Caenorhabditis elegans: one gene and its partners. The protein of the gene in region 2 purifies or fractionates together with the protein of the main gene of each other region. This does not show direct contact. Each region holds a gene or a part of one and is shown on either strand. Other genes may lie near its edges.

Region 1 (3,457 bases), on a different chromosome or scaffold from region 2:
ATCAATTTTCAGCCTGCTCCAAAATCGGCCATGCTCAGCTTACAGAAGACACCAAAGGAGAGTGAGACTGATCTGGTTCGTTTTTTATTTTTCGAAATATTTTTTAGCTTTTGTAGTACTCCAAGATCTTGAGCAAAAGTACAACCAATTTTTCAGAAAAAGACATTGCCACGTTCTCCTCCTCCAATTCCGAATCGTAAGCAGCCGTCTCGTGAGATCATGTTGACTCCGAAGCAATCTACAAAGACTGCAAATGCTGGAGGAAGAAGCAAGGAGCCGTCGTTGAATACTGCAATGAGCCAAGAGGCAGGAAATATCGAACCACGAAAGACTCCGAGTAAAGATACAATTGGAAGTACTGGAGTATTGCCATCAAATCAGGATAAGAAGACTCCGAGCAAGGAGAAGGAAAGTGTTAAAAATGTAAGCAACTGAAGAATGGTCCATGATGTTTTGTAATGCTCTTTTTTCAGACACCTGCTCCGACCCCGAAGCTAGGAACTGCAGAGCCCATCTGAACTTTATAGATAAATAAATGCTGCTTTGAATTTTTTAATTGACAATCATTTACTAACTATTAACATCACAACCTCAAAAAGCTCTGAAAAAATGAGCTTCAAAATTCAAAACAATATTCAAGTAATTAAGAAAATCAGCACTTCGAAATAGCAGCTTCAACTGCATTTCTGATTGTTGTCATGGCGACAGATTGATCTGCAGCTTTGATGATTCCAGTTCCACTCACGATCGCATTGGCTCCAGCTTGAGCAGAGATTTCAATATTTTCAGGTGTTACTCCTCCGTCAACTTGAATAGTCAGATTTGGATATTTTGAACGGATTGTGCGAACCTGAAAGCCATAAATTTTATTCGTATCAAATAAAAACCAAAATAAATACCTTTTCCATCATGTTTTCCATGAACTTTTGTCCTCCAAATCCTGGTTCCACAGTCATGATAAGAGCATTATCCAAATGATTAGCATGTCTAAAAAGTTTTTTAATTTAAAATCTAGATTGAAATATAATTTTGATTTTACTTCAAAATATGCTCAACAGAAGTTCCCGGTTTGACCGATAATCCCACTTTCATTCCACTTTTTCTGATTTTTTCGATCAATTCACTGACTGCCACATCACCATCTACAGCCTCATAATGGAATGTGAACTGGCTGGCACCAGCTTTTGCCATCGGTTCAACCCACTGTCCAGGATTAGAGACCATCAAATGAACATCGAAGAATGGTTCAGCACCAAGAGATTTACGAAGAGATTCAACGACAGGGTGACCGAATGTGAGGTTTGGTACAAAGTGACCGTCCATCACGTCGAGGTGAAGCCTGCAAGTTGGGAGCTGGATACTATGGGAACGCAGAAAGTAAATCCTTTGAAAATCCAAGTGGAAACGTTACTTACTTACTGCTAAATGAAAACGCTCCGCCCCTCGAACCATGGGTCTCATTAGGTATTGACATTGATAGTTTAAGCGTTTTCAATTAGTCCTGCCAATTTGTGTTTGAAGATGAAAACAATTTCAATTTGCGATTTTGTGGCCAAATACCTAACGAGACCGTAATCTCGGGGGGTCGGAGCGTTTCCAATTGGCCGTGGAGTACGTTTCCATGTTGATTTCAGAAGAGGTTTTTGTGCGTTCCCATTTAGATTTTTGAAATCTAAAGGGACATTTAAATATGAAAGTAGTTGTCAAAACTATTCAGAATTTCTAAAGATCACCTTACCAATCTGCTCCAGCTGCTAAAAGTTTCTTGCATTCAGAAGCCAATGATGCAAGATCGGCATTCAGAATTGATGGACACACAAATGGACGGAGGGTCATCTGAATTCTAGATAAATAAATTTTATCATCCAGAATCAATGAACAAATAAAGTTATAGAATTAAACTTTCAACTGTAAACTTTCAAAAAAATCTTTAAATAATACTTTAATTCATAAATATGTATACCCAATTGTTTCACATCGAGAAAAAAACGAAAAAGCCAAGAACTCCATTATACTCGAAAGATTACAAAACGAGAAAATTATTTACAAGTAAAAATTAGAAAAACGGTGAGGAATATCACAATGAAAGTGGTGTGCGTTGTATGAAGGGACAAGGGAATAGTACAAAAATCGATTATTCTTATCATTCAGTTTCTATTTTTCATTGACACAAAGTAATAACAACTCGAAAACTTGATAAAAAGTTACGACTGCCGATTGTTAAATTTCTTCGAAAAATACGAAAATCGGAGTTCGAAAAAGTTTTTGAGTTTTTTTTTGATATTTGAAACTGATTAATTGATAATCCAGAAAATTGTAAAAATAAGGCACGATGAGATGACGGCAGCAAGGATCAGTGTGTTCTTCTGCTTTTTCGTTTTGATTTTTTGCATCAAATTGTTAATTGCAGGATATTTTTCTAAAAAAAGTTGTTTTGATAATTATTATGCAGCTTGTAAAACTGTTTTTCAAAAATGTTGAGTCTCAGTTGAAAGGAGGAATTTTTTTTTGAAATTTTTTCGGCTTTTTGGAGAAATTCTAACTTTTGTTTTTCGGTCCAAATTTCAAATAAATTTTTTGTTGTTTTTTTTTAAAGATTTTTTGTCAAAAAACTGTATTGCAAGAAATTTGAACTCAAGTTTATTAGGTCTAAATTAATCTAGATTGACGATTTCAAAAAAGATCGGGTGTTTCAGGAACATTTTTATCAGAAATGTTCATAAATACTTAGATTTACTTTAATTGTTTCCCTTTTAAAGATAAATTACTTGAAATATGATGAAGCCGAGTTGATATTCCACGTAGATTAATTCCCTGTCTGGCCATATTCTCTTTCGTTGACATTGCCATTTCTAACTGTTCATCTAACAATCGATCACAAGCGTTTATATGGTCATTCTCCTGAAATTAAATTAATTAGTACTACTTTCTTGAAATTCTTCCCAAAAATACCTTCAAATACATATCATATCCACGAGCCCTGTTGTTCAGTATAGGATTATTACGATTTTCATTTGAACTGCTCAACAAGAGTTCTCTGAATAATATCGTATTGTTTAATTTAAAAAAAGTATTTTTCATACCTCTGTAATACCTGATCAACATTATCTCTTGCACGTCGATACTCACTACCGTAATCTCGAAGAATTTCTCGATGTCGTCGAAGTGTGTGTTGAATGGCTGGATTATTAGCCCAAGATGCCGAGGATTGAGCACCAGCTACGTCATTCATCTGAAGTTGACGAATTTAAAAACAAAATTGAAAATAAACTAACATCATCATTGATATTTGTCAATTGCTCTATCAATCCTTCGATTTCTGTTGTCACTGTTTTGAAGCTCGTTTGTCTTGAGGAAACTGTTTTCTCGTCGATGTCAAAACCGCCTGAAATATTTTTTCAATAGGAAACATGTTTATTAAATATTTTTCTGAGAGACATGTTCGAAAGTTGGTTAT
Region 2 (4,645 bases):
AACTCTTCATATTTGTTGTGACGTGGCCAAACGTAAAATGCGTTGAATGCGGCAGTCGAGACGACAGCGACAGCAAGTGAAACGTAAATTCCACGTTTTCCATATGATTGGAGCATGTTCCGGGTAGCGGAAGCAGCAACCATGGCTGAAAAAAAGAATGAGTAATACGATGTGCAGCTAGCAAGAAAAAGACGTAAAACAAGAAAGACGTTTTTTTTTAAATCAAAGATATTGATACTTTAAAACATTTGTGCAAAAATGATGGGAAATCCGATGGAAAATGATAGAAATCCGAAGAAAATATGATTGAACTTGAACAAGAATTGAACAATATGATGATGCGCGACGCAACACGCGTCGCACGTCCACTACTGTAGAAGTAGAGTGTATGCAGAGTGTTTGCGGACTGGCGCACCGTAACCGGCTTGTCGAAAAAATGATTATTTTTTGAATACAGATTATTTAAAATAAGCCTTTTTACTGGCTTATCTTATCGTTCTACACTTCTTTTAACTGAAAACGTATTTATTTTCATTCATTCAATAGAACATTAACAAATGAAAAAAGAGCAGGAATAATATTGATGTGGAACACAGGAAAACATATGAACTAGTAGCTGCTGAATTTTTGAAGTTATTTCTACAAACATTTGAAAGAGAATGAATAGAGGAAGATCTGGTATCATTTATAGCTTTGGAGCAACCCATTTGTATGTTCCAGTGAAGATGAAACCGTACTTTTTCATCAATTCGTCACCTTCAGTTGGACCACGACTGAAAAATTGGATTACTGTATTTAATTTTAAAAAAAAAGAAACACAACCAACCTTCCAAATTTATATTGAACCGGTTGAACTTTCTTCTTTTTAAGCTCTTCGAGAACTGGCGTCAAAATACGCCAAGCGTATTCAAGCTCATCAGTTCGAACGAAATTAATTTGAGATCCCATGAATACTTCGAGAAATAGGCGTTCATAAGCATCAGGAAGACGGACTTCTTTGAATCTGAAATTATCACAATGAAATTTTTTTTGAAGAGAAATTTCAAAAACTAACCTATTATTATAAGTCAAATCAAGTTCAGTTTCTTCAACACCGAATCCCATTCCAGGTTTCTTGGTCATCAGTTTCATGTAAACTGCCTCATTTGGTTGCACTCTCATCACTAATTCGGATCGCTTTAATTCACCAGACGGATAGATATCTCCACTGACTTCTTTGAATTGTATACGAACTTCTGCTTTCTTCTCGTTGAGAGCTGCAATAATATTGAAATTTAAAAATTCGGTTTTTTTTTGTATATTCCCTACCTTTTCCACAACGCAAGAAGAATGGAACACCCTCCCAACGTTCATTATTGATGTGAACAACAGCAAGAGCATACGTTGGAGTAGTCGAATCGGCTGGAACTGATTTGTCATCTTTGTATCCTTGTGATGCTTCTGGGTCTAAAATTAATGTATTTAAAAATCAAAACTTTTATAAAATTGTAATTTTTGAAAAACTCACGATCAAATTCAGGACTGGCAATGTATTGTCCAACTACTACATCCTTTAATTCTACAACTTTAGCAGCTTTCAACACTTTGACCTTTTCATCACGAATATCTTCAGCATTCAAACTTGCTGGTTTCTCCATGGCGACTAAAGTTAGAATTTGCATCAAATGATTCTGCATAACATCACGGATAATTCCAGCTGTATCAAAATATCCAGCACGGCCACCAGTTCCAAAATCTTCTTTAAATGAGATCATAACTGATGCAATGTGATCGCGGTTCCAAGATGGAGCGAGAATTCGGTTTCCAAATCTGAAAGTTCAAAATAAAATTATAAATCTCTTCAAATACTTTGAAAAAACATTCTTACCGCATAACCATCAAATTCTGAACCATTTCTTTTCCGAGATAATGATCAATACGGTAGATTTGATCTTCTTTAAAAAGTTTCGCCAAATGAGTTGAAAGTTCACAAGATGATTTCAAATCATGTCCAAATGGTTTTTCTATGATAACACGTGTCCATGAATCACCATGATCCATACAATTCTTCTTTAATTCCGTAGAAACCACGTTGAAAACTGATGGAGGAAGAGCGAGGTAGTAGAGACGATTGACGGCTTCTATAAATTTGCTTAGATTGAGTGAAATTTAATTCTAAACCTACGATTATTGCTTTCTTTTTGGAAATCATCAATTGAAGATTGAAGGCGTTGGAATCCTTCAGAAGTGTCGTATTGGCCCTGAAAAAATGTCAATGGTGCTTTTTATGTTCAAAGTTTCTAGAAAAAAGCTTCGATTCAAATTTTTATTACCCAGTAACAAGATTTTGTGCGAAAAATACGGTAACCGGTCTCGACCCCACAATTTTTGTTGAATGCAAAAAAGTGCGCGCCTTTAAAGAGTACTGTAGTTTCAAGTTTTTGTTGGTTTTCGTAGTTTTCCTACCTGATTTGTAAAAAAAATGTATGTGTTGCAATTATTTTTTTTCAGTTTTAAAACAATTTTTTTAAAATCTGAAATCGACAAAAGCTTGAAGCTACAGTACTGTTTAAAGGTGATACGTTTTCGCATTTAACACAAATTTGTGGTGTCGAGACCGAGCACTGTATTTTTGGAACAAAGTTTCACGCCTATTTATTAGCAGATGTAGATTTACCTGAACGTATGAGCACTTCTTGATGAAGTCATCAAAAGCACATTTCTCATTTTCTCGAACTTTACAGTTTTTCTCAAAAGATTCACGAAGCTTGAAAACTGTCAGATCGGAACGGGCATATCCAATAAATTTGATGTTGACTGGCAAAAGGTTGTCACGGAACAACCACCACAGTGTTGGGTATATTTTCTTTTTTGCGAGATCTCCCTGAAAAAATGTTAAATAATTAATAATCGATATATATGGAATAGATGTCATACCGATGCTCCAAATATCACGAAAACGTACGGAGTCTCAAATTTGAGATCTCTTTGCATTGATTCACGAAGACACTCGACGAGATCCTTCGAAATGGGATCGGACACTGAATGACGTTTGCATGCCATTTCTGTAAATTTATAAACTAGATTTTGAAGTGAGAATGACGAACATTGATTCACAAAAATTACTCGTGTTGAGAGGTAAATAGTAGAAACTACAAGTTTCAAAGTAAACCATCTAGATACACATAAATGTTATTTAAAAGTGAGATTATTGTTTCATTTATACAACGAAAAATCAAAAAGAAATACGTTAATTGATATATTGATGTACTTCATAATGATTCTGCGCAATTCTTTTTTACTGGCAGAGTAATAAACTGCTTACTTTCAGCTAGTTACATTTAATGGAATAATGTTAATTTCTAGCACTAAAAAATGTAATTTTTCCTTTCGAATCATATACCTAGTAGCGAACCGCAGTCTACAATATAAATGAATTGGAACAACTGGAACAACACTATAAATCGGTCACTTTTTACTCCACTTCCATTTTTTTCACAGGGCAGCGAGAGAAGAAAGAAACAGTAAGAGAAAAGTGGATGCGCCAGTCTCTTTACAAACATGAAAATATTTACTGAAATCTTCTCGGGTCACAAAAAATGATGACTGAATGAAATTGTGTAGTGTGTGCGAGTGGTAACCATGACAAATAATGTTCTCTGGGCGACATTGATCGACAATGAAAAGAAACAATGTATTTCTCTAGGAAACATAAAAACTCGAGTAACTTGACTCTGGAGAAGAGACGAAACTTTGTAACTCTAGATTTAATCTATGGTTCTTGACTTTTAGTTGACCGACTAGGATATTCTGGAACACATTTTTTTTGGATTTTATCTGGAAGATGAATTCTTCGAAGACTTAGTCTATCAGAGAAAAAACTAATTTCGTTTTCAGAAAACAAATCAAAAATCACTGAACTTGAAAGTTTATCAATTTGATTAACGTCTGATCAGTTTACCAAATTAACAAGAAGACAAAGAAAAAGAAGAATGAAAACTGTTCTTTGCAACTCCTAAATAACTATGCATTTTCAACCATAAATTCTGCCAATCGGGTTTCATTTGGAAAACGGAGCACACGAATGGCCACATTTATTTGTGTCTCTGCCGATCATTTTTTTAGAAGGTGAAAAGTGCAAACAAAATATGAGGAGAAAAAAACGGAAAATGCTGACAAAACTTCGGAGGTGACAAAGAAAGAAACGGATAAAAAAGGTGAGAAAAGAAAGGGCAGACAAATTAAATGGACAGAAAGACAATCGGGAAAGAATGTTGCCAATTTGGGAATATAATTAATTTTCAAGTATTTTTTTAAAGAGAAATTGAATATTTTCTGTTAAATTCAAATATTTAGAATGCTACATTCTAGCCAGTCTATTGTGGAAATCATGATAAGATTGTCTGAAAGATAATGGATTTTTCCAAAATGCTATTATATTACGTGGGCGAGCGTCTCCTCTATAAATAAAGAGCAATGGGAAACAAAACATGTAAACTAAAATGAACACCAAACACGAAAAAACCTTCCTCTTCCCGTCCACTATATTGATATTTAGGATCTGGTGTGACCCACAAGTGGGTGGTGCCATTCGTGATAAGGAAAATCGGTCGAAAAAATTCATCAGCAAAATACGCGGAAACAGTGAACAGTGAGCACACGTTGT
Region 3 (5,052 bases), on a different chromosome or scaffold from region 2:
AGACGTCCCGACGACATATGGTTCTCCAGCGTTCCATGATACTCCGAAGCATCATCATCCCGATCGTCATGCTCACCGCGGTACCGTCTCGGCTCTTTCGGCTTCTTCTCCACGGCGGCGTCTCTTCGTTTCGGATGGTTCTCGTCGTTGGCTCCACGTGTTCTCTGGTACAGAACACGTGGATTATAAGAGTTGCCGCTTCGCACAGAAGTCGGAGTTCTCTCACCACTTTTGAGCTCTTCCTCGGCTTCTTCTTCCTCTTTTTCCTCGGCGATACTTCCACCGAACGAGCTTTCTCTGTCGGATTCATCGGGATGGTACCGACTGTTGCCTCCACCTCTTCGATTATTCCTTCGGTTATTTCTCCTCGGAGACGCCGCTTTCTGAGCTTCCTGAGCAGCAGCTTCTTGAAGCTTCTGCTCCATCCGTCGCTCTTCCTCTTCCTCCTGCTCTTTCTGCATTGCAAACTCATTTTCCACCTCTTTACTCCAATCCATCGACGCGAAATTCTGCAGGTTCTGGCACATTTCCTCGAAACTGAACGCCTCGCCAAGGGAATTCATCGAGAAATTCGATGAGGCTCCACACTGAGATGCCGAGTCGAATGAGGTGTCAATGTGAAGTTGAGCACCGGTTTGAGGTGGCATTTCTGATTGGGTAGAGTTGATGGAATCGTTGCGTTGGCGACGGGATCCTTGAGGACGTCGGGCGATGGCGCCGTCCCCGCGCATGGAAGCTCGCTCGTTGAAGCCGCGGGTCTGGAAATTGAAAAGATTTAGCTTTAAAAGTTTGGTTGTTTGAACAAAAAAAGCTTTAGCTCAAAAAATATTTGATACGCAATTTTGTAAATGCGCGTCGTGTTTGCGTACTTGACTATCGTACTCAATGGTGATTTCCGCAAAAATTTATGTTTTTTTTCGAGAACGGACAATTTTCTAAGGTTGTTCAGAGTTTTACAATTCGAAACGGTATCATGCCTTCTTAAGGCGGTATTAAACGTAATTCTAAGTTCAGATTGTCAAATTTCTCAAATTCTGACAGTTTTCACCAGTAAAAACCTCGAATTTGTATGGAAAACTGTCCAGATTGATAAAATCTCTAGCTTTCTGTACTAGACGTGAATTTTCTTGAAGTGGGCTAATTTCTAAAGCTTTTCTCAGCTGTTTGGTACAATTTCTACTAAGTTTTACAGTTTTAGACTAGAATTTGAGCGATTTATCTCTTTTTCCCCAAAATTTCTTTTTTCCTAAAGTTTCCATATTCCCATCATACCTTACTGATCACTTCACATCCCACACATCCCATTAATTCTAATTAATTCACCCCTTCTCCCCCCCAGACACTTCCATTAAGAAAACCTGATAACCTACATAATGATTTCCGCCGGGTCGTTCGAACGGTTGCCGATGCTGCTGATGCTGCTGGTTACTGTATCTCCCATTATTCCGGTGATTCGATCGGTGGTTGCCCTGGTACTCCATATAGCCACCATGTTGCCGTGTGTCGTAGAGGGATTGTGTGGAATTCTGGAATTGGAATGGTTTTCGTGGGATTTGGGACATTTGTAGGGGTGTGCAACTTTTCAGTCAATTTCAGACTTTTGTCTAGTTCTGGGGATTTGAGTTCAATCTTGAGCAATTCTTAGCTTTTTTCCTGGAGTCTTCGAGACAAAATATAAGTTTTCAGCCAGTTTGAAGTTGGGTTCAGTCGGGTTTCATGAGAATTTGAGACCTTTTCCAGCTAAATTCCAGAGCCAAAATACGTGATCTCACGTGGTGTCAGAGTCTCCAATTTTGGCTTGATCTACGTAGTTCTACAAAAATTGCGGGAAAAGAGACGCAGAGTTCTCATTTGATTTCGCATTGTTAAGAACGTGCTGGCGTCACATTTTTTGGCCAAAAAATTCCCGCATTTTTGTAGATCAAACCGTTATGGGGCAACTTGATACCACGTGATTTCTCAAATTTTGAGGATTTTGAGTTACCTTCAGCCGTTCCACAGTGGCTTTAGAGTTAAATATTTGGATTTTTGGCGTTTTTGGGGATTTTCAGCCAACTAAGGTATTTTCTCGTGCTAATAATGAGTTTTTAAACAATTTTTGAGGGTTTTCAGTCAATTTCAGCTACTTCATAGTGAAGACTTTGGGTTTCGAGAGATTTACTGAAAATTTTTGGCTTTTCCCGTAAAAATATCAGTTTTGCCATAGATTTTAAGATTTTCCGTTAATTCAAGTCGTTTTCTAGTGCTTTTAAGGTATTTTGAGACATTTTCAGCTGAATTTGGGGCTTTTATCATGCTAAAATATTAGTTTTTCAAAATTTGCTGAGGGTGGTGTCAGGATGTCCCATCACGGTTTGATCTACGAAAAATACGGGAATTTTTATTACCAAAAATGTGGCGCCAGCACGTTCTTAACCATGCAAAATTAGTTGAGAACTCTGCGTCTCAACTCCCGCATTTTTTGTAGATCCACGAAGATCACGTCAAAATGAGGCACTCTGACACCGTTTCCCCGTGCTAGATAATGAATTTTTCCAAAATTTTTTGAGGGTTTTAGGTAATTTCAGTTTTTTTCTGTAGTGTTAGGGTAGAACTTTTGGTTTTTGAGCGATAAGATAAAAACTTACATAATTCGATGGCCCATCTGTTCTCTGTTGTTGTCGATAGCCTTTCTCAAATCGATTCCTTCCTCCACCTCGCTCATTCATGGCATTAATCACATTTGCATCGGGCGTCGTACTTCCAGATCCACCACGTGACGTCACACTGTCCGTATCGTTGCTTCTTCGTCTGGAATTGCCCGACATCGTCGTCGTTGTTGTGTTCAACTTCTCCGGGCGTGGTGGTCGTGCTTCTTCGTTCGTAGAGCTCAAGCTTTTCGTGCTCCCTCCCTGGCGGAGCATTCCTGGACGGTAGATTTGAATTTCTGGGCGCGGTTTTCGTGGAGCTCCCGTCCTAGATGACGAGGCGTCTGTGTCTCCGTTCATTTTGCTTGGTGAGCTGGAAATTTGGAATTTTGAGATATATCATAAAAGAGAAGCATGTAACATACAAAAAAAGGAAAATACAGATTCAGGCATGCCTACCTGCCTGCCTACCTACGCTATAAAACTGCAAAAGTTCAGGAGAAAAAGCTATAATTGAAGAGAAAGCACGCGGTGTCAAAGTGTCTCATTTCGGCTTGATCTACGTAGATCTACAAAAAATGCGGGAGAAGAGGCGCAGAGTTCTCAACTGATTTTGTATGGTTTCACATTTTTCTGGGCAAAAAAAACCGCATTTTTTTGTAGATCAAACCGTAATGGGACAGCCTGGCACCACGTGAGAACGGAGTTGGAGCAAAAAAATTTAATTAAGAAAAGGTGTTGACAGCGGGCTTTACGAGGGGATGAGCAGAGGATAAACAGATTTTTTCGCAAAAATTCGTCATTCCTCTAGATTTTAGACGGGATTTTGCATTTTCTAAAGCTGTGGGTGTTGGAAAACCGAAAACCGCCGTTGAAAATAGCTAAAAATCCGTGGGAATCTCCAAAAAAGCGTTGAAAACTTCAATTTTGTACCTAGAAATCCAGGAAAAAGCTGAAAATTGGTGTGATGTCAGAATGCCCCATATCGGTTTGATCTACGTAGATCTACAAAAAATGCGCGAATTTAGCCGCAGACTTCTCAACTGATTTCGCATGGTTAACACTGTGCTGACATCACATTTTTTGGGGAAAAAAATTCCCGCATTTTTGTAGATCACACCGTTACAACCTACCACACCACGTGGGAAAACTCATAGGTTCGACGAGAAACTTTTTGGTTAAAACTTTAAAAAATGTCATATTTTTAGGCTGAAACTAATATGAATAGTTAAAACCAAGCTATTAAGTTCTGAAAACCATACTTTATATAAATTAAGGGCCTTTTGGGTCTGGAAATTCGGATTTTTTGAGATTTTCCCTCCCAAGAATACTAGTAAACCCTAAATTTCTCCGATATCACAAGATCGCTACTTTTATTTCGATTTTCGCAAAGTAACAAAAAAAAAGTTTTATGTAACTTTTATGTCCCCCCACCACCAAACGTTTTCCTGTTCCGAAATGCAAACACATACAACACAGTGAAACAATTCTTATCACTGGTGGAGCGGGTACCTTCTGTTAAGCTAAACAGAACATACACGTCGGCGGGGTGGGGGGAGGGAAGGGGTAATTGTTTGATTAGCCACCCATCAAATAGAGACATGGGAAAGTACATGGGGGGTAACAATGGAATTTTCGGTATCGATTTCTAATTGGGGAAGACTCTAGTAGAGGCTCATTGGAAATTGGGAATTAAATAGCGTTTATAACCGAAATTTGAAATAAAAAATTCAAGAATATGGTAGTTTTCAAAGTAACGTTTCTAATTGGGATTTTAAACAAAAGTACAAAAGTACTACTAAAACGAAATTTGACAATTCTTTTTGCTCAAAAATTAAATTTCGTCATTTTTTAAAATTATATATATATATGTGTGTTGTAATTAATTACAATGCTCAAAAATGCAGCAATTTTTCAAATTTGAGCAATAAATGTTGTCAATTTACGTTCTTTTTCGATTAATATAGTAATTAAAGTAAGCTTTTTCAGCCTACTACAGCCTATTTGGACTAAAAAAAAACGGACCTCACAGAAATGATATATTTACTGATTTTTTCTCCCTCAGAGAGCAGTATAAACACACACGTGCATTGTAACAAAAAAACAGGGAACGAAAAGAAAAGAGTGAATGGGAAGAGAGAAAGAGAAAATGTGTGATATGAATTGGGCAGAGAAAAGGGATGACGGCTGGAGACGCTGAGAGGAGGGTGGGGTACGCAATTGTGCGTCGAGGGGGGAGGGGGTGTAATTGCGGACTATGGGAAGATGAGTATGACCTTTGGCGGAGAAGAAGAGGACCGTGGGAATGGAAGGGGTTCGCTGTGGAGGTTTTTTAGAATGTTAGACGTTATCAGCGATGTTAGAAATTAAAATAAGTATTAGGGTGAGCAATAAGTTTTTTCGTCTTTTCTCAGTTTTCATCCTT
Region 4 (4,722 bases), on a different chromosome or scaffold from region 2:
CACAAAATTGTGAGAAGGATACCTGTTACGATTCTTTCCCGATACGCTTTTTTGGATAGTAGCGGATTCATGGAATGACGTGACAAATTCACCTAGATTTGTTCAAAGTTTTAATTATTGCTTCAAAGTTTTAATTCTAAATAAACTTTTTGTTTGAAACTTAAGAATATTAATTGAATTGGTTTGAGGCATCAGAATGTCTTATGCTTTCTGCTCTCCCGTATTGAACTGCAAATCGAATTTTGCGGATGCGCACTACGTAAGTCAACGACACAACAGAAGAATGCACGAAGGAGAGAAGATGATTCAGGAGTACACAGACGTGGTAGAATGTAGATATACATTTGTCTTTTTAGTAAAGTTTTACTATGTGTTTGTTTCTAGGTATCTAGGTCAGCGTCTATCTCTTTCCTAAATAGAAGACTCAAAATCCAAAGTTCTGAATAAATCAGTTGAAAGTACAACACATTCGCACACATGAATGAGTTGTTTAAAATGACCGGCCGTGAACAAAAGAAAAAGTCGATGTGAGGTATTTACTTAGAAAATTAGGAAACATAGTACAAAAAGTAAATCATTGAATATGCAGAAATGTATCTCAGTATTAGTTGCTTGGCATTAGTCGGAATCGGAATCAATTGCAACGCGAGACCTCTTCTTTGCTGGCTGTTTCTTATTAGTTGAGGTTTCTTCATCAGACTCGTCAGAATCAGAAGGCAGCTTCTTCTTTCTGATCGGAGATGGAGATTCCACTTTAACGTCTTTTTCATTCTTCTTTGTCGATGATGAAAAGATGCTAGCAACTGGTCCTTTCTTTTTCTCTGCTTCTTTCTTTATTGGTGAACTTTTCACGGGCGATTTGTTAACTGGTGAAGATTTTACAGGCGGTTTCTGGAAATAATATATATAATTAGCGATAATGGTAATTTCAAAAACTAAAACCTTTTCGAATTTTTTCGGGGATACTGATTTAGGAGTCTCTTTCTTGATCTCCTCTTTCACTGGATTTTCTTTAGAACTTCCTTCAGATACATTGGTCATGTTCAACTCCTCCTCTTCATCTTCTTTTTCTTCAAATTCGTCATCCTCATCAACTGCATCCGCCTTTTCGATCTTCTGGTTGGCAAAAGCTTCTTGGTTTTTGTACATTTCAAGAACTTGCTCCGAAGATGTTGCATCGTCGGAATTTTTATCGTCCCGAATACGCAGGAAACGAGGAAATCTCAAAGAGATTCCTTTTCCATCATCCGTCAATCCACTTGCAGCTTTGTGACGCGGAGATATAGTAATATCGGCACATTTGACTTCGAAAACAAGATACGGAGAAAAAGTGTCATCTGGTTTAAGAGTGTGATCAAATTGATAATAAGAAGGAGATTTGTCAATTTTCTTGTCTTGTAGGATCTTGTATTGCTCGGCCAAATCTTCATCAGTGAAACCAGTTCCAATCTTGCATACACTTTCGTACTCTTCTGTAGTAGGATTGTAACATCCGAGAAGATATCCTCCATACACTCCAGTTCTCTTTCCAACTCCAGAATAAGCACCCATGACGACAAGATCCAACGTATCTCCTACTCCATCAACGTAATCTTTCTTCATTTTCAACCAGCTGTGGGAACGTCTTGAAATCTCATAAGTAGCTTCAGTGTCGAGAGTTTTGATCATGAGTCCTTCGCATTTATTTTGAACGGCTTCATCGAAGAAAGAGTTGATTTCATCAGTATCATTTGTATCTACGGAAGTTGCAAAATAGAAGCTTCCATCAATCTTTTTGAAGTTTGTTCGAAGAAGTTCTCTTCTTTTTCGGAGTGGTTTTCTCACGAGAGGCTCCCCATTGAAGTAGAGAAGATCGAAAAGAAAAACTACAACCTTGACTCCGTTATCATCAGTTGCATTTTTCCTTTTACGAGTCGACAAAACTTGGAACGGAAGAATTAAGCCAGCCTCATCGATAGCTACAACTTCAGCATCGACAATAAATGAAGTTACCCCATCCCCGATGCAGGATGAAATTTTTTCGATAATATCGGGGTACTTGGTAGTGTTGTTCTCTTGGTTTCGACTGTAGATGAAAATTTGCCCGTCTTCTCGTTTATGAATCTGGCCGCGTTCTCCGTCATATTTCCATTCACAGGTCATTGTCTGATTTCTGAATCGTCGCATAATTTCATCAATTCCCTTTGTAGGGTGAGCCAGCATAGGTTTCAGTGGAATTCCGGGTGAAAGTTTACATTTTTCGACAAGAGCTTCCACACCTTCAGTCAGTGCAACTTCGATCAGACGATTGTAGTTAGGGCATTCGCTGAAAATTAATTAGATGAATAATTTAATAAAGAAACAATTATTACCAATAGGCGGTCTTTACTCGCTTAACATTTGCATCTTTCAGAGAATCGAGTTTGTCACCACGAACCTTTTGATCAGTTATTTTCGAAAGAGTGAATGCATGTCCAAGTGCTGATAGAACACTTTGTTCACCGAGACCGATTCTCATTTTGCCGGCGAGCATTCGGACGAGGAATCGAGCCTCAATTCCTTGACATGCAATGAGGAGTGCACTAATGGCATCAACTTTCTTGTTCATAGCTGAAGTGCCACTGAGCTTTGCAATTTCGGTTAACTTGTTGAAAACAGTTGGAACAGTTAATGCTTTTGGAACAGCAAGCATTTTCTGATTGGATCTTGACTGTTGTGCGACAGTCCCAAGATCTCCTTTCGCGCGAAGATCTTCTTTAATTTTTCCCTCTGTACGTCCGGTCGCTTTAGCAACAGCCTTAAATTTTCTTTATAATTTAATATAGATTCAGTGGAATGCAAACCTTGATCAGCGAATTTTCAGCAACTCCAAGCTCGAGCCCTTCATACGATGGCCCGAGCTGATTAACTGACATGTACACGCACGCTGTTAAATCGTCGGGTGAAAAGTCCAGAACTTTGGTGAAAAATTGAGCCAATTCATCCACTTTCTTTTTTCCCGATAACTCTTCGATTTTCTCAAGGGTGAGAGCAAACTCCTTGTAAGGGACTCTGAAAATTTAGAAATAAAAAACAGTATGTTCCACAAAAAACTTACTTTGAACCCTTTGCCCATTCAACAGCGGCTTTGCCAGCTTTTGAGAAAAACATCTGAAACGATGAAGATGTGAAATTTACATTATTCGAGAAGAAAAGGTTTCGAAGATGAATAATTAATACGTGAAGGGATACAACGTAAAATACTTGGCAGTGTGCAAAATCAAGAGAATATCGAGCAAGTATTAAAAATAAAGTTGTATTAATCGAACCAGAAAACGATACATTTTGAACGGCGCGCGCACCAGATGCATTAGAGCACGATTGCGCGCACATGAGAGAGTGTGGAGACTAAGAGACATAGACAGTTAAAAACCGGCAAATCGTAAATGCTTCTTTCCTTGTGATTAAAGTCGACGTTATTAAAAATAGAAAAATGGGACATTGAAAATACCATCGTCTATTTGCTTTTTAAAAGATAGTGAGAGACCTATAATTAATAAAAAAAAGAATATTTAGACAACACATTTGAACCTACCAAAAGAAAAGTTCATTGCTACCGTACTCCAATGCCTGCACATCAAAAATACCGACTTTCAGCACGTCGCGGAAAATAACGGCATTCAGTTTCTTTCACGTGTTTTCAGCTCGACCATTCGGTGTAATTTGTGCAAACACCGTCACGCGCAAATGCAGACATTTTTGCACGCGCTGCGGTGAAATTCCTCTTGGCGAATTCAAATATTTTTTCCCGCCTTTTTTGAAAATTTTCGAGGCGTTAGTCGAGCTGAATACACGTGTCTTTCATCGATGTTCATTTTCTAACACTGTTTCAGAATGTCCCTGTCACAGAAAAAGGACCTTCTCGATGAACTACATAATGAGGCTGCAAAATGGTTGGCAGTCCTTCTCGATTTGTGTAAAAATGTAAAGGCGCCAGAGAACCAGCGAAACCTAGTCGCCTGGGCACAGAAGTGGATGGATGGGGCCGGAACACTCACTGACGAGCTTGAAGATTTTTCCATACGTGTTCACGTGGCAGAAACTGTGTCGGAGGTATAGACGAGAATGTGTTTAACAAACATTTGTTTCCTTTTTCAGATCAATCCTGCCGACAATGCTCCAGTTATGGAATGCCTTGTTGATGTCGTCAATGCAATAAATTCCATCACACAAAATATGTACAAAATTGTCAATAACGACCAGAACAAGCGATTGTTCATCGCGTAAGTTCAAAAAGTAAATAATTGGATTAAAAATATCATTTCAGAAAGTCAAATGCTCAAAGAAAGCATGCAAAGTTATTGAATGAGAAGGAAATTGTTATGAGACGACTGGAGCAATTGAAGAAAGAGCAGCTGAAGAAAACAATGGAATCCGAAAAAAAACTGAGAGATCTTCAAGCTGAAAATATCCGGCGAGATTTTCAAGAGCAGGCTCGTTCACAAGCTATGAGAGATCACGAAGGTATGAATTTCAGGTTGATTGATTTAATATTTATAAACTGTTTCAGTTTACCTTGCTTATGCGGAAGCCATTAATTCTGTAAACGTTACACCTCATTTCGAACATTTTGAGACCCCTGCGGAAGACATTTCTACACCCTTTGAATCGCCCAATCTTCCGAGAAAACGTCGCTCTCGCAGCCTTGGCCGGAAAGTTTTGGGATCTGTCAAGGTATAAAAATGGATTCCGATTTATTTTCAT

What was found.
Region 1: the proteins of gspd-1 (region 2) and F08F8.7 fractionate together in Caenorhabditis elegans (co-fractionation; one large-scale study listed by BioGRID). This does not show direct contact.
Region 3: the proteins of gspd-1 (region 2) and smg-6 fractionate together in Caenorhabditis elegans (co-fractionation; one large-scale study listed by BioGRID). This does not show direct contact.
Region 4: the proteins of gspd-1 (region 2) and lig-1 fractionate together in Caenorhabditis elegans (co-fractionation; one large-scale study listed by BioGRID). This does not show direct contact.

Annotation. Positions count from the first base shown.
Region 1 is NC_003281.10:7,345,307-7,348,763, forward strand, and holds F08F8.7 (Ribulose-phosphate 3-epimerase), read right to left. Parts: upstream 1,844-3,457; 5' UTR 1,837-1,843; coding exon 1,739-1,836; intron 1,340-1,738; coding exon 1,040-1,339; intron 988-1,039; coding exon 900-987; intron 851-899; coding exon 653-850; 3' UTR 549-652; downstream 1-548. Other genes in the region: F08F8.6 (uncharacterized protein), read left to right, coding at 13-75, 157-423, 474-518; gos-28 (Golgi SNAP receptor complex member 1), read right to left, coding at 2,295-2,419, 2,769-2,901, 2,953-3,037, 3,084-3,232, 3,276-3,385.
Region 2 is NC_003282.8:11,315,818-11,320,462, reverse strand, and holds gspd-1 (Glucose-6-phosphate 1-dehydrogenase), read right to left. Parts: upstream 3,045-4,645; 5' UTR 3,043-3,044; coding exon 2,917-3,042; intron 2,864-2,916; coding exon 2,657-2,863; intron 2,241-2,656; coding exon 2,165-2,240; intron 2,121-2,164; coding exon 1,868-2,120; intron 1,810-1,867; coding exon 1,508-1,809; intron 1,447-1,507; coding exon 1,309-1,446; intron 1,257-1,308; coding exon 1,055-1,256; intron 1,004-1,054; coding exon 827-1,003; intron 774-826; coding exon 686-773; 3' UTR 512-685; downstream 1-511. Other genes in the region: B0035.18 (Mitochondrial cytochrome c oxidase subunit VIc/VIIs domain-containing protein), read right to left, coding at 1-143. UniProt on the Caenorhabditis elegans protein: Cytosolic glucose-6-phosphate dehydrogenase that catalyzes the first and rate-limiting step of the oxidative branch within the pentose phosphate pathway/shunt, an alternative route to glycolysis for the dissimilation of carbohydrates and a major source of reducing power and metabolic intermediates for fatty acid and nucleic acid biosynthetic processes.
Region 3 is NC_003281.10:2,471,816-2,476,867, reverse strand, and holds the start of smg-6 (PIN domain-containing protein), read right to left. Parts: upstream 3,001-5,052; 5' UTR 2,988-3,000; coding exon 2,628-2,987; intron 1,527-2,627; coding exon 1,371-1,526; intron 759-1,370; coding exon 1-758.
Region 4 is NC_003283.11:10,812,520-10,817,241, reverse strand, and holds lig-1 (DNA ligase 1), read right to left. Parts: upstream 3,130-4,722; coding exon 3,077-3,129; intron 3,031-3,076; coding exon 2,823-3,030; intron 2,777-2,822; coding exon 2,352-2,776; intron 2,306-2,351; coding exon 943-2,305; intron 892-942; coding exon 619-891; 3' UTR 524-618; downstream 1-523. Other genes in the region: C29A12.1 (uncharacterized protein), read left to right, coding at 3,853-4,071, 4,117-4,241, 4,286-4,482, 4,529-4,692. UniProt on the Caenorhabditis elegans protein: DNA ligase that seals nicks in double-stranded DNA during DNA replication, DNA recombination and DNA repair.